2 linked regions of the Oryctolagus cuniculus genome follow. The protein of the gene in region 2 purifies or fractionates together with the protein of the main gene of each other region. This does not show direct contact. Links are inferred from orthologs where the notes say so. Each region holds a gene or a part of one and is shown on either strand. Other genes may lie near its edges. The genes, in order: AP3M1 and AP3S1.

The links.
Region 1: the proteins of AP3S1 (region 2) and AP3M1 purify together in Homo sapiens (co-immunoprecipitation; 4 studies listed by BioGRID and IntAct, counting the BioPlex papers as one, with this or other methods). This does not show direct contact. The link is inferred for Oryctolagus cuniculus from reciprocal best matches to the Homo sapiens genes AP3S1 and AP3M1.

The regions. Positions count from the first base shown.
Region 1 is NC_091446.1:65,185,532-65,192,268, forward strand, and holds part of AP3M1 (AP-3 complex subunit mu-1), read right to left. Parts: intron 4,444-6,737; coding exon 4,358-4,443; intron 3,254-4,357; coding exon 3,120-3,253; intron 1,900-3,119; coding exon 1,692-1,899; intron 1-1,691. UniProt on the Homo sapiens protein: Part of the AP-3 complex, an adaptor-related complex which is not clathrin-associated. The complex is associated with the Golgi region as well as more peripheral structures.
Region 2 is NC_091437.1:6,073,660-6,080,396, forward strand, and holds part of AP3S1 (AP-3 complex subunit sigma-1), read left to right. Parts: intron 1-273; coding exon 274-365; intron 366-4,294; coding exon 4,295-4,406; intron 4,407-6,737. UniProt on the Homo sapiens protein: Part of the AP-3 complex, an adaptor-related complex which is not clathrin-associated. The complex is associated with the Golgi region as well as more peripheral structures.

The sequences.
Region 1 (6,737 bases), on a different chromosome or scaffold from region 2:
GATCCGGAGCCCCCCTTTCCCAGTCCCGCGTTGTTTCTGAGGAGCTTCTTTGAATTCCTGGGATGGAGTTAGATAATGTTTAACAGTTTATGACTTTTAATTAAAAAAAAAAAATGTCTTTGGGTACCGTGAGTGGGTTCAGCTGCTAATTCCAACACCAGCATCCCATATCAAAGTGCATCAAAGGATGGAAGCTCTGTGTCACTCTGCCTTTCAAATAAATACATAAATACATCTTTTTAAAGAATATGCCTTTTTGGGGCTGGCGCTGTGGCACAGTGGGTTAAGCCACTACCTGTGGTGCAGGCATCTGATATGGGCACCAGTTCAAGTCCTGGATGCTCCATTTTCAATCCAGCTTCCTGCTAATGCACCTGAGAAAGCAATGGAAGATAACCAAAGTATTTGGGGCCCTGTAACCATGTAAAAAACCTGGAGGAAGCTCCTGGCTCCTGCCTGGCCCAGCCCTTGGAATGAACCAGTGGGTGGAAGATCTATCTCTCCCTCTATGTAACTCTGAGTTTCAAATAAATAAATACATCTTTAAAAAGCCTTTTTATCAGGCAGTTCAATGACTATGCTGTAGTTGCTTCATAATCTTCCGCTATAGGCATGTGTAAATAGGCAGAACAATGTCTCCTGTGGAAGAATATGAAATGAAGAACTTTTAAAAGGGGGCTGGCTGGCATTGTGGCCTAATGGATTAAGCCACTGCTTTTAATGCTGGCATCCCATGTGGAGTGCTGGTTTGAGTCCTGGCTGCTCTGCTTCTGATCCAGCTTGCGTATTTAATGAGGCTGGCAAGGCAGCAGAAGACGATTCAAGTCCTTGGGTCCCTCAACCATTTTTGAGACCAGGATGGAGTTCCTGGCTCCTGGTTTTGGCAGGACCTTTTGAGAAGTGAACCAGCAGGTGGAAGATCTCTCTCTACCCCCTCTCTCTGCTGTTTTGCCTTTCAAATAAATAAGTAAATAAACCTTAAAAAAAAGGAACAAAATAATGGTTGGTTTCTACAGAAAGATCTAACAATAGATTATAGTATCTTCATATATCCACAAAACACTTAAAAAAGCCTTTACTGGGGCCAGCACTGTCGCGTAGCAGGTAAAGCTGCCACCTGCAGCGCTGGCATGCCATACAGACACTGGTTCAAATCCCAGCTGCTCCACTTCCAATTCAGCTCCCTGCTATGGCCTGGGAAAGCAGTACAAGATGGCCCAAGTCCTTGGGCCCCTGCACCTACGTGGGAGACCTGGAAGAAGCTCCTGGCTCCTGGCTTCAGACTGGCCCAGGCCTGGCCATGGCAGCCATCTGGAAAGTGAATCAGCGGATGGAAGACCTCTCTGCCTTTGCCTCTCTGTAATTCTGCCTTTCAAAATAAATAAATAAATTGTTTTAAAAAAGCCTTTACATTCTTATTAGTAGAGACAGTCTTTGGGTTATCACAGATGAGTAAAGGTACTTTGAAAGAAGATAGAGTCAGTTTCACGTCTCTGTTTATCTACTCAGGGGCAGACGTGGGATTCTCTCTACAGCCAGTGGCAGAAATACAGCCTAGTATGACCTTTGTTTGGTTTGGATAGGAACTTTAGTTTTAAACAAGGTGGTAAACCTCCCCTCTACTCTTTCCCCCAAATCACAAAAGAGATTTCAGGAAACACTTGCTCACTCTTGATCTGAAGTGGCTGTACCTTGGTGACTGGATCAAAGGTATAGCTGCCTTGTGTTGGTGTCAGGTTCATATTCAGCACAACTTTTGGCATGTGAACTGTCACTGTAATTCCTTCAACAGTTTTGCCCATATTCTGCTTTGGTCCAATCGTTACATCAAATCTGCCACAGGAACTGTTCTCCTTGAAGCTGATATTATGTTTCACATACACTGGTATTGCCACTAGACTAAAAGACACAAAAGCATATACATACACAATTAATGGTTAGGATACCTTCAGAGCTGCCCTGAAAATACCAGTCCAGAGTATTCTACCCTGCGTCTACTCCACAGTAGGGATCCATATTTCTGAAACTGCGTCTTTAGCATCTGCACAAAGGAAAGCTGGGTATAGCACATTCTGGTACCACTGTGGTCTAGGAAATCTATCATTTCTCAGCAGGAGGTATACAGATCAGAACCCAACTCTGAAGCCTAATAACAGTGTAAGCAATTGAGACAAATGGTTCTAGTTTTTAAAAAGATCCCACTGAAAGGTAATTTAGAATTTAATATAAATGATGAGAGCCAAGAAACATTTCTCTGCTTTTCAGTCCTGTCTTGATGATACCACCCAAATACCCTCAGATCCTTTCAAGGAAAAAAATAGCTATATAAGCTACGATGCTGAATTGTTCCTTTGAAACTCACGGCAGCAGAGAGTGACTTGAAGTGGGCATGTTGGGCAAGTCTGCAGAGCTAAAGGTAAGGCCTGTCTCCTTCTGTTGGCCAAATGTCTACAGACTTTGATAAAATTATGGTACCAGTTCCGGGTTCTGGTTATGCATAGTCCAAAATGCTTGTTCTCAGGCATAGGCTTTGCTATGGTCTTATTTACTGCTACTATGTACTCTTAGATTCAAGGTACAGATTATTTCAGGCATGTATTCTCATCAGTTCTCTTGGGGTATCTTTTTTTTTTTTTTTTTTTTTTTTTTGACAGGCAGAGTGGACAGTGAGAGAGAGAGACAGAGAGAAAGGTCTTCCTTTGCCGTTGGTTCACCTTCCAATGGCCACCGCAGTCAGTAAGCTGCGGCCGGCGCACCGCGCTGATGCGATGGCAGGAGCCAGGTACTTCTCCTGGTCTCCCATGGGGTGCAGGGCCCAAGCACTTGGGCCATCCTCCACTGCACTCCCTGGCCACAGCAGAGAGCTGGCCTGGAAGAGGGGTATCCGGGACAGAATCCGGCGCCCTGACTGGGACTAGAACCCGGTGTGCCAGTGCCGCAAGGCGGAGGATTAGCCTAGTGAGCCGCGGCGCCGGCCTCTCTTTGGGTATCTTGTTGAGTTGTGATTAAGTCAACCATGATGAACTCAAGTAGCCAAGTGTAGAATGAAACAAGGCAAAGTAGGTTCTATTCAGTACACTGATACATGATGGAAGATTCTGGCTGACACATCAACATACTTTTGTGAGCTGACACGGTAGGATATGAGTCGGAAATTTCCATCTGGAGGAATAAATGACAAAACTCTTTCAGATTCCCAGCGTTTGAACCGGATGCAGGGATGGAAGCTGACATCATCCAGAAGCCTGGGGTTCTGCCAGGAAAACACAAGACAGCCAGGTTCATAAAGTATACCAGCTATGGTAACTCTGTTCAGTATTATGAGATATTAGTATTTTTTCTAAAGATAAAGCAGTCATGAATGAAATAAACCAGGCACAGAAAGACAAATACCACATGTTCTCACTTATATGCAGAAGCTAAAGTCGATCTCACCAAAAATTACAGTGATTACCAGAGGTAGATGGAGTAAGGTGGTGGAGAACAGAGGGAGGCTGTTAAGATGGATCTCCTAATACAGTTAGAAGGAGTAAGTTCTGCAGTTCTAGCACAGTAGGCTGACTACAGCAATTTGTGATTTATGAAGAACTAGAAGAGAGGAATATGAAAGTTCCCAATAGCAAGAATGACAAACATTTAAGAAGATAGAAATGCTAATTATACTGATTTGATCATTATACACTGTTTATGTAAATGTATTATCACGCTGTAGCCCTTAACTATGTTATTATGTGTCAAAAAGATAAAAGTCATGTGAGCATTTATTAGTTATTATGACATCCACAGAACCTTAAACGTTTCACAATTTGCAAGTATTTTATATACATTATTTGAATTTCAATAACTACCAGGGAGCAAAGATGAATAATATTAGTTCCATTGCATAGGTAAAAAAACTGAGGTTCAGGACAAATTGGTAAAAGAGCACCATAACTCAATTCTTTTCATTGTTCTTTGCAGTGTGGTATGCTAAGTCCAAAATGATAAGACAAAGTCCAGTGCCCTTTCCTGTTAGTAAAGCAGATAATTATTCAGTGAAAACTAAAGTAGAGATTTGCCAGCTAACTTTTAAGTCACTTTTAGCACATCTAAGCAAAGACTTCTCAGCCTTTTCATAAAGGCCAGGCTCATCATGTAAACTACTGTCCTGAAAGCTGCTATGCTAGCAATACTTCTCAGATGATCCTTTACACTCTTAGATACAAACTTATCTAAAGTACTTATCACCTCATTTAATATTTAGTTGTAGTACTTATCGCTTCATTGAGTATTTCATATGTATGCTATTATGAGTTGGAAATTTCCACCTGGAGGAATAAATGTAGCCCTTTGCTGCAAACAAGAAAACAAAACTTACCATGAAAGATAGGGAGAGATCGGGCATTCCTGATAGCTTAATGCAAGCATCAATGACCCCCTGAATTTCTGCAAAGACTGTAGATCCTGAAGAAAGAAAAAGATTGATAGTATCAATGGAATCTGAGTCTTTAGCAGAGCTATCACTATATCTGGAGTAATGGAGCCACCCCCTGGGTGTCAGACTTGCTGAAGCTTTGCACCTCGATTAACAGGTCAGTGGACAGGGGATATATTACACCAGTTCAGAAAGCCTTTTCATTTAGTGCCATGGTCTGTAGCTAACTCTGGTTGGAATATGATAATGCTAATGAAAATCAAACCTATCTCCTTTAGAGAGTTCACCTTCTAAGACTACTGATATGAATTTAAATTGTTACAACAGACTTGAAAAATGAGGGAAATTTATTAGGAAATGCAGCAAACTACTTCCTAACTTTTAAGAAATAGGAGCCACTTGGGATAAGCATTGTGATGTAGTGGGTAACGCTGCCACCTGCAATGCCAGCACTCCATACGTGTGCCAGGTTGTGTTCTAGCTGCTCCACTTTCCATCTGGGTCCCTGCCACCCACATGGGTGACACGATGAAGCTCCCAGCTCCTGGATTTGAGCTGACACAGTCCTGCTGTTGCAGCTATCTACAGAGTGAACCACCCTCACCACCCTAACTCTGACTTACCAAATAAATAAATAAACATTTAAAAAAAGAAAAATAGAAGCTATGATCTATTTTTCTGTAGACAGAATGCTACAGTGGAAAGAGTAATCACTGAAGAAAAGATATTGGCTAGGGGCCGGTGCTGTGGCATAGCAGGTTAACGCCCTGGCCTGAAGAACTGGCATTCCATATGGGCGCTGGTTCGAGACCCGGCTGCTCCACTTCAAACCAACTCCGTGCTATGGCCTGGGAAGGCAGTAGATGGCCCAAGTCCTAGGACACCTGCACCTGCGTGCGAGAACTGGAAGAAGCTCCTGGCTTCGGATTGGCGCAGCTCTGGCCGTTGAGGCCAACTGGGGAGTGAACCAGTGGATGGAAAAATCTCTTTCTCTGTCTCCTCTCTCTGTGTAACTCTTTCAAATAAATAAACAAATCTGTAAAAAAAGAAAAGCAAAGCTGAAAGGAAGGATTCCTTTCCCTTTATCAATTACTATTAAAAAAAAGATATTGGCTAAAATTCACTAATTATCATCACATATCAAATACAACCTTTAGTGGATCACTCAACCTTTCTAAGGCTCTTCCTTTCTTTCTTATGGCTGCAACGGCTGAGACTAAGCCAGGCCGAAGCCAGAAGTCAGGAGCCAGGAGCTTCTTCAGCATCTCCTATGTGGGTGCAGGGACCCAAAAACTTGGGCCATCTCTGCCTTCCCAGGCCATCAGCAGGGAGCTGGATCAGAAATGGAGCAGGAACTCAAACTGGCGCCTATATGGGATGCCAGTGCTGCAGGCAGATGCTTAACATACTACATTGCAGTGCCAGCCCCAGCCTCAGTTTACATATAAAATGTGATGATGGGACTAGATTTTTAAAAATACTTTATAATTTTACTAATTTTTTGATAAACATTTAATACTTGCACATTTTATGGGTATTCTTTTTTCTTTCTTTCTTTTTTTTTAAGATTAATTTATTTATTTGAAGGCTGAGTTACAGAGAGGCAGAGAGAGGGGGAGAGGGAGAGAGAGAGAGAGGTCTTCCATCTGCTGGTTAACTCCCCAGATGGCTGCAACAGCCAGAGCTACACCAATCTGAAGCCAGGAGTCAGGAGTTTCTTCTGGGTCTTTCATGCAGGTGCAGGGACCCAAGGACTTGGGCCATCTTCTATTGCTTTGGGGTATACTTTCAACATATATACAGAGCCTGGATTGATTGAGCTAGGCAACTAAGCGTTTACTTCCTTTTTTTTTTTTTTTTTTTTTTTTTTTGACAGGCAGAGTGGACAGTGAGAGAGAGACAGAGAGAAAGGTCTTCCTTTTGCCGTTGGTTCACCCTCCAATGGCCGCTGCGGCCGGTGCGCTGCGGCCGGCGCACCGCGCTGATCCAATGGCAGGAGCCAGGTGCTTCTCCTGGTCTCCCATGGGGTGCAGGGCCCAAGCACTTGGGCCATCCTCCACTGCACTCCCTGGCCACAGCAGAGAGCTGGCCTGGAAGAGGGGCAACCGGGACAGAATCCGGCGCCCCGACCGGGACTAGAACCCGGTGTGCCGGCGCTGCAAGGCGGAGGATTAGCCTAGTGAGCTGCGGCGCCGGCCTCCTTTTCGTTTTGTTTGGTGCCTATCAGCTCTTCTTTTCCAGTTCTTCATATGGTATATAATACAATTTTGTGAACTACAGTCACCCTAGTTATATTATGAATATTTTTAATAATTAAATTTTA
Region 2 (6,737 bases):
TAGTTTCCCTTTTTCTAGTAAATGTAATATATGTGTTTTTTTTCCTTGTTGGTTTTTGCAATTTAGAACTCAGTTATTTTTATCATAGTGGTAAACGTCAAAGCATATCCCCCTTTTTTCATTAACAGTGTTGGGTTTTAAGTTGGTTCTCTGAGGACCCCTCACTCACTTAGATGGATTTCCCAGAGATTAATCCCTGTTATTTTTAAAATTGTTAAAGTTCTGTTAAACCTGTACACTCAGTCCTAATGTATGTGACTTGTTCTCCCTCAGAGTGAAGACACACAGCAGCAGATCATCAGGGAGACCTTCCACTTGGTCTCTAAGAGGGATGAGAACGTCTGTAATTTCCTGGAAGGAGGATTGTAAGTAAAGCATTTCATAGACGCTTCTGATTTTTGGACTGGATAATTAAAGTGTGTACTGTTACAGCAGTTCAGTGCAAACGTTTTCTAGTTTTGATTAGTTGAATTAGGTGAGATAATTGCTACCCATGTTAGCTATTAATCTAACTTAAAGAATTTCTTTTGAAGCTGTGCAGTCTGTTTTTCTTTTTAAAAATCTTATAAGGGCATTTTATTTAAAATTAATATGTTCATATTGGAAACATTCAAATGTTCCAGGGAAGAGTAAAATATTCAATAAGGGTCTCCCTCTTCCAGCCTTTGTTCTTCGTCCTGGTTTTACATTTCCTTCCAGAAAACAGATTTTGCACCGACCAGCATTTGGAAGTGTAACCTTTTTACTTCTGAGATCACACTGTGTATGCTCACTTGTTGTTGTTTGGTTTACTTCATCTTAACACTTAGATTTGTAAAAATAATCATTTTATTTTTTGAAAGGCAGGGAGAGAGATCTCCCATCTTCTGATTCACTCCCCAAATGCCTGCAGCAGCCAGAGCTGGCCTAGGCCAAAGCCAGGAGCCAGGAATTCTGTCTAAGTCTCCCAGCATGAGTGACAGGAACCCAGGTACTTGAGCTCCTGATAGTTCCACTGCTGCCCTCCATGGTGTGCGCTAGCAGGCAGCTGGAACTCGGAGCAGAGCTGGAGCTGTCACCACACGCTCTGATGCAGGACACAGGTGTCCCAAGCATTGCTTTAACCGTGGTGCCAAGTGCCTGCCCCTGTGTAATGTTTTAACAAGTTCTGCCTGTGAGTACGTCTAAGGCAGCCCTTACTCTTTTTTAAGACTAAAGAGTATTCCTTAGGGTAAATGTCCATAAAAATTTGGATTGTATCTTTTATTATTACAAGTAAAACTGAGGTTTATTTATTTATTTTTGACAGGCAGAGTTAGACAGTGAAAGAGAGAGAGACAGAGAGAAAGGTCTTCCTTCCGTTGGTTCACCCCCCAAATGGCCGCTACGGCTGGCGTGCTGCGCCGATCCGATGGCAGGAGCCAGGTGCTTCTCCTGGTCTCCCATGGGGTGCAGGGCCCAAACACTTGGGCCATCCTCCACTGCCTTCCCGGTCCACAGCAGAGAGCTGGCCTGGAAGAGGAGCAACCGGGACAGAACCAGCGCCCCAACCGGGACTAGAACCCAGTGTGCCGGCTCTGCAGGTGGAGGATTAGCCTAGTGAGCCTTGGCGCTGGCCCTGAAGTTTATTCTTCTAACGTTTCTGTCTTTGCACTATGTACAGATGAGAATTCAGCTAAAAGATTTTTTCTATTAACATTTCCATTACTTATAATTAGCTTGCAAAATATATAAGTAAATACTTCTGAATTAATGGATTCCATGAAAGTAGTTTAATTCTAAATGTTTTCATAAATGTTGCCTCTTCTTTTATATAATTAATATACTTAATAAGATAGTTCCTTATTGATATTTAAAAATAAACTTCAGCTGAGATTTGTAAATAGTCACAGATTAGAGAAATTTGTATTTTTCTGTATTTTGTGTATGGTGCATGTTATGAAAACTAGGTCAGATAGCAGGGAATCCATTTTTACCTGACTTTAAGTTACTTTTTATCATGTGTAGTTCGTTGTGTTTCTTAAGTTCTATCCTACTGCACTTAAATGTATGGTTCACACTTAAAATAGGTATAAATTTTGTTACCAATGCAGGCTTCTGTTTTAATAGTCGAGACAAATGTACCTGCTTCTGACTTTGAATTTCACTTGTACCTAATTCTCTTAAGTGTCTGTTCGGGTTTAATAGTGTTTGCCTTTACTATCACTTCTTGTCATCCCAGCCTCTTAATTTCTTCCCTCCCAGGAAATGTGTCTCCTAGCACAGTATATTGCATGCAGTAGAAAAGCAAGATGGAGCTAGCTAGAGTACTGTTTAAACCAGAAATCAGGGCCTGGAGTTATGATTATTCTTTCCCAACTTTTTATTTTATTTTATTTTTTTTAGTTTTTTTTTTTTAGTTTTTTGAAAGGCAGAGTGACTGAGGGAGAGGAAGAAAGCAAGGAGAGAGAGTTCCTCTGTCTGCTGACCCAGTGCCCTGGGTACCCTCACCCGCCTGGCCAGGCCAAAGCTGGAAGCCAGGAACTCCCTCTTGGTACTTGGAGGGCAGGAACCCAAGAACGTGGGTCCTTATCTGTTGCCTCCCGGGTATGCACATTATCAGGAAACTGGATCAGTAGCAAGGCAGGATTCCATCGCAGGCAAACACCTGCCCTCCAACCTTTTGAAAAGTAGAAAATAGATATTGCATCTTAGTCAGTCTCAGTGTTATCACCATCAAGTTTGTGTCCCTGGTCCAGTCACTTTAATTCTTGAAATTCAGTTTTCTCCACTAAGATAAACTATTTGGACTGAAGTTTATGGTTTTATATGGTGACTTACATTCCGTACAAGAGTTTGGGGTAGTGTTATACTATAATTTCAAGATAAAAATTCTTAAATACTTTTTAAAATTTTATTTGAGAGACAAAAGATCCACTGGTTTTCTCCTCAAAGACTTACAGTGGCTGGGGCTAGGCTGGGCTGGGCTGAAGCTAGGATCCAGGAATTCACTCCAGGGACCCAATTACTTTATCCATGCTTGCAGCATCCTAGAGTCTGTGTTAGGGAAAAGGTACCCTTGCTGTGGTAGTATTTTTGCTGTCTTCTGTTAATGTTAATGGCTGTGTTGGAACAGCTTTCAGAGGCCAGGTTTCCTCCTTTTAGAGGAAAAACTCAAGGTCGTTGCTGAATTGCTGTTTGTGAAAGCGCTGTCTGTACTCTTTGTATCTCTTTAGAGAAACAGTTGCAATCATAGCCCATAAACATGATTTCAGAATCTTTGAAGTGCATGTGTATACTTTTAAGTTAAATACCTTTCCCAAAAAAGTATCTAACATAGTAGGAACTTTGGTTTCTTGTTAGGGGACACAGATGTAGTGCATACACAGAGAAGGTGGGAGCTCAGGGGTTAACTTGACTCAAATGAGAAATGATGTCTAATTCCATATGAATGTTTGATTAGCTTTGACAACATTTAACGTTACTTTCTAAATTGTTAGTGTGTAGGGGTCTTTTGAGAAGGCAAGCTCATAAACTTAAAAAGTGTGAAAGCTTAACTATATTTAAATTCCAGTCAATATAAATAAAAGTATTTGATGGAAGAACTGAGTAATAACTTAATTCTCTTGCATTTGTACTCAAAACAGCATATGTTTTTGTAGGCGACCTAGATGGTAAATCTGTCCCAAATTTAAGAACTTTCATTCTTTTTTTTTCCTAGTTCATAATCAGTCTTAAGCTGTGTAACTTACTGTGACCTGTGGAGTTAAATCTAGTAAGCACTTGCAGACGCCCTCTGTCCTAATCTCTGCTTCTTCTGACCTCACTGTCACTAATCTCTCCTTGTCTGCTGGCCTGCCTTTTCTTCTACTCCTTCTCGCTGCAGTGCCCTTTTGTTAGTTGCACCTGGCGCTGACATGCTCTTCTCTGAATCCCTGAGGCCCACGGCACTCTCCTCATCTCCCTCACCTCCCGGCTGAGGAGGCCAGCCCCTCTGGAGGCCTCGCCCTGCTTGGGTTCTCTGTGTGGCACCTTCCACTGACAATTTTCTTGTTAGTTGCTCTGTATCCATCGTCAGTGCTTGACACATAGAATTAATCACTGAATAGTTTAACGAATGAGTGAACTAAAATTAAGCTTTTTACTTTGTCTCTAAAGAAAATAGCTGTCTTAATTTGCTTAGTCTCAGAAGTAAGTTCTCTTGAATGCTTTGCCACTAAATGTTATGTTTGGTTAATAAAAGATTTTTAAACACATTGTCAGTTTGCTTGAGCTAATGAAAATGTTCTGTGTTTTGTTCCCTATAACATTTCACTTGTTTTGTTTTGTCATTTAGATTAATTGGAGGATCTGACAACAAACTGATTTATAGACATTATGCAACGTTATATTTTGTCTTCTGTGTGGATTCTTCAGAAAGTGAACTTGGCATTTTAGATCTAATTCAAGTAAGTTAACATTTGCCTCTTACTGTCTTAAATAACAGTTTGGCATTTATATTTTTAAAAACTTACATTTTCTAAATTTTCTAAAGTGATGTTTTGTTTGGTAAGAAAGTGTCCACAGTAGATACGGGGTGGATCAAAGAGGGACAGGGGATGTAGAACAAGTAGATGGGGGCCGGCGCTGTGGCTCACTTGGTTAATCCTCCTCCTGTGGCGACGGCACCCCATATGGGCGCCGGAGTCTAGTCCCGGTTGCCCCTCTTCCAGTCCAGCTCTCTGCTGTGGCCCGGGAGGGCAGTGGAGGATGGCCCAAGTGCTTGGGCCCTGCACTCGCATGGGAGACCTGGATGAAGCTCCTGGCTCCTGGCTTCGGATCGGCGCAGTGCCGGCCGTAGCAGCCATTTGGGGGGTGAACCAATGGGAGAGAGACCTTTTTCTCTCTGTCTCTCTCACTGTCTAACTCTGTCAAAAAAAAAAAAAGTAGACGAATTTAATCTGATTTAGACCAGTTATGACTAATTCCATCTGTTCCCTTCTCTTTCTTCGTGTTTCCTGAAAACCTTTCGTGACGTCCTGGAACTCCAGGGCTGTGATGAGCAGACTCCTCCTTGTCCTTAGCCTCTTCCATGCTGCTCCACTTTGATCCACGTTAAATCCTGCCTTCTCTGTTACACCACTTCCGGCACTCTCAAGAAGTAGCTCTTTGCCCTCTTGTTCTTTTTGGTTTTCACTGGTTTTTCCAGAACGGGTTGTCTCCTGAAACATCTCCACATTTTGTCTCATGTTGTCAGCTCTAACTCCTACCCATCTGCTTGTGGTTCTCTCTCTACCTTCGATCCTTTGGCGGTTTCGTCAGGAAATCTTATCCAGCTTGGAAGCCGAAAACTTGACCTTTATGATTAGCAACGTAAGCATTAGCCACAGTAAATAAAAAAATAGCACATGAGCCAAAGTACAAGCATTTGAAGAGGGGCACACACTGTGGGTTGAGTTATGAGTGAGGAACCCTGACCTTAGAGAATTGAACTCTTCTATAATTAGCACTGTTTCTTTTTTTTTTTTTTTAAGATTTTAATTTTTTTAAATTTGTAGTTTTTGGCAGATTCAGTGTAGTTTGCAGATGCAATTCTAGGATTATAATGCTATTCCCCTCCTCCCTCACCCCTCCCACTCTGTCTCTCCTACTCTCCTCCCTCTCCCTTTCTTTCTTCACTTTACTGGTTTTTGAGATAACATTTCAAATTTACATTACAGTACACTGTCTTTGCTTCCTGGGGGAAAGTAAGCCTATCCATAGTGTGCTTGCAAGGAGAGCCCAGAGCAGAGACCACCATGCCTCTGCTCACAGTCTGTGCAGGAATACCCCACCCGTGGAGAATTGTCGCCCACTGGACTTTGGCTCTTAGTTTACCGACATTCACTGCCCTGTTGGAATTCTTGGTGATTTCATCGTCGATGTATGTAATTCTCTCTATCCTGACGTTTTTAGGCCTGCATCTCCTCTCCTGTGAGTTTTGCTCTCTACCCCTTCTCACTGCTCATTTCCACACCGTGCTTTTAATCCAACTGAGTTGCCTCCCTATTCTTATCTTCACACCTTCCTTCCTTTGTGTACCACTTCTTTTTGTATTATTTGTGGGGAGCAACTCGGACTAGACTGTTACTGGAATTAAGACTTATTCTATGCATCTGCTCTCCCACAATATGGCGCTGAGAAGGGAGTAACAACTACACAGCTGCCTCTCGCCAACTTGAGTGATGACCTGCAGGAGCTGATCCTGCTCCTGATTGGAGGAGAGCAGCGTACTCGGCGTGTGGGTAGCAGAGTTGGGATTGGTGGAAGAGGACTATAAAGGAGGAGAGAGACAACATGCACCAGGGAACACCTGAGAAGCACCTGTGCAGCCCCCGAGAGAGCCGGCCGGCGGTGTGCCGCTCCCCTGCGGAAGTGGGGAAAGTGGCAGGGGGGCCTGCCCCTCCACGGAGGTGGAAGGGTCGGTAGCCAACCCGGGAAGAACCAGCAGCAAACCCGGGGAGGGCCGAGCAGACAAAAGAACAGCGCAGGGTCCTGTGTCTTTCCTCCGCGAAGAGGGGGAGTGACAATTATTCTCTCTATTACTATTATTACTTTCTATTACTATTATTATTATTATTACTATTACTATTATTATTCTTTGTATTATTCTTTCTATTACTCCCAACAGATTTTTGGACCTGTTGGGATCCACAGTTTCCAAGTGAATGTCTTGTCTTTCCTGATGTCTGACTTTGCTTTTCCGGCTTAAATGCCATCGTCACTTGTGATTCATGATTGTGACCTTGTATACGCTTATC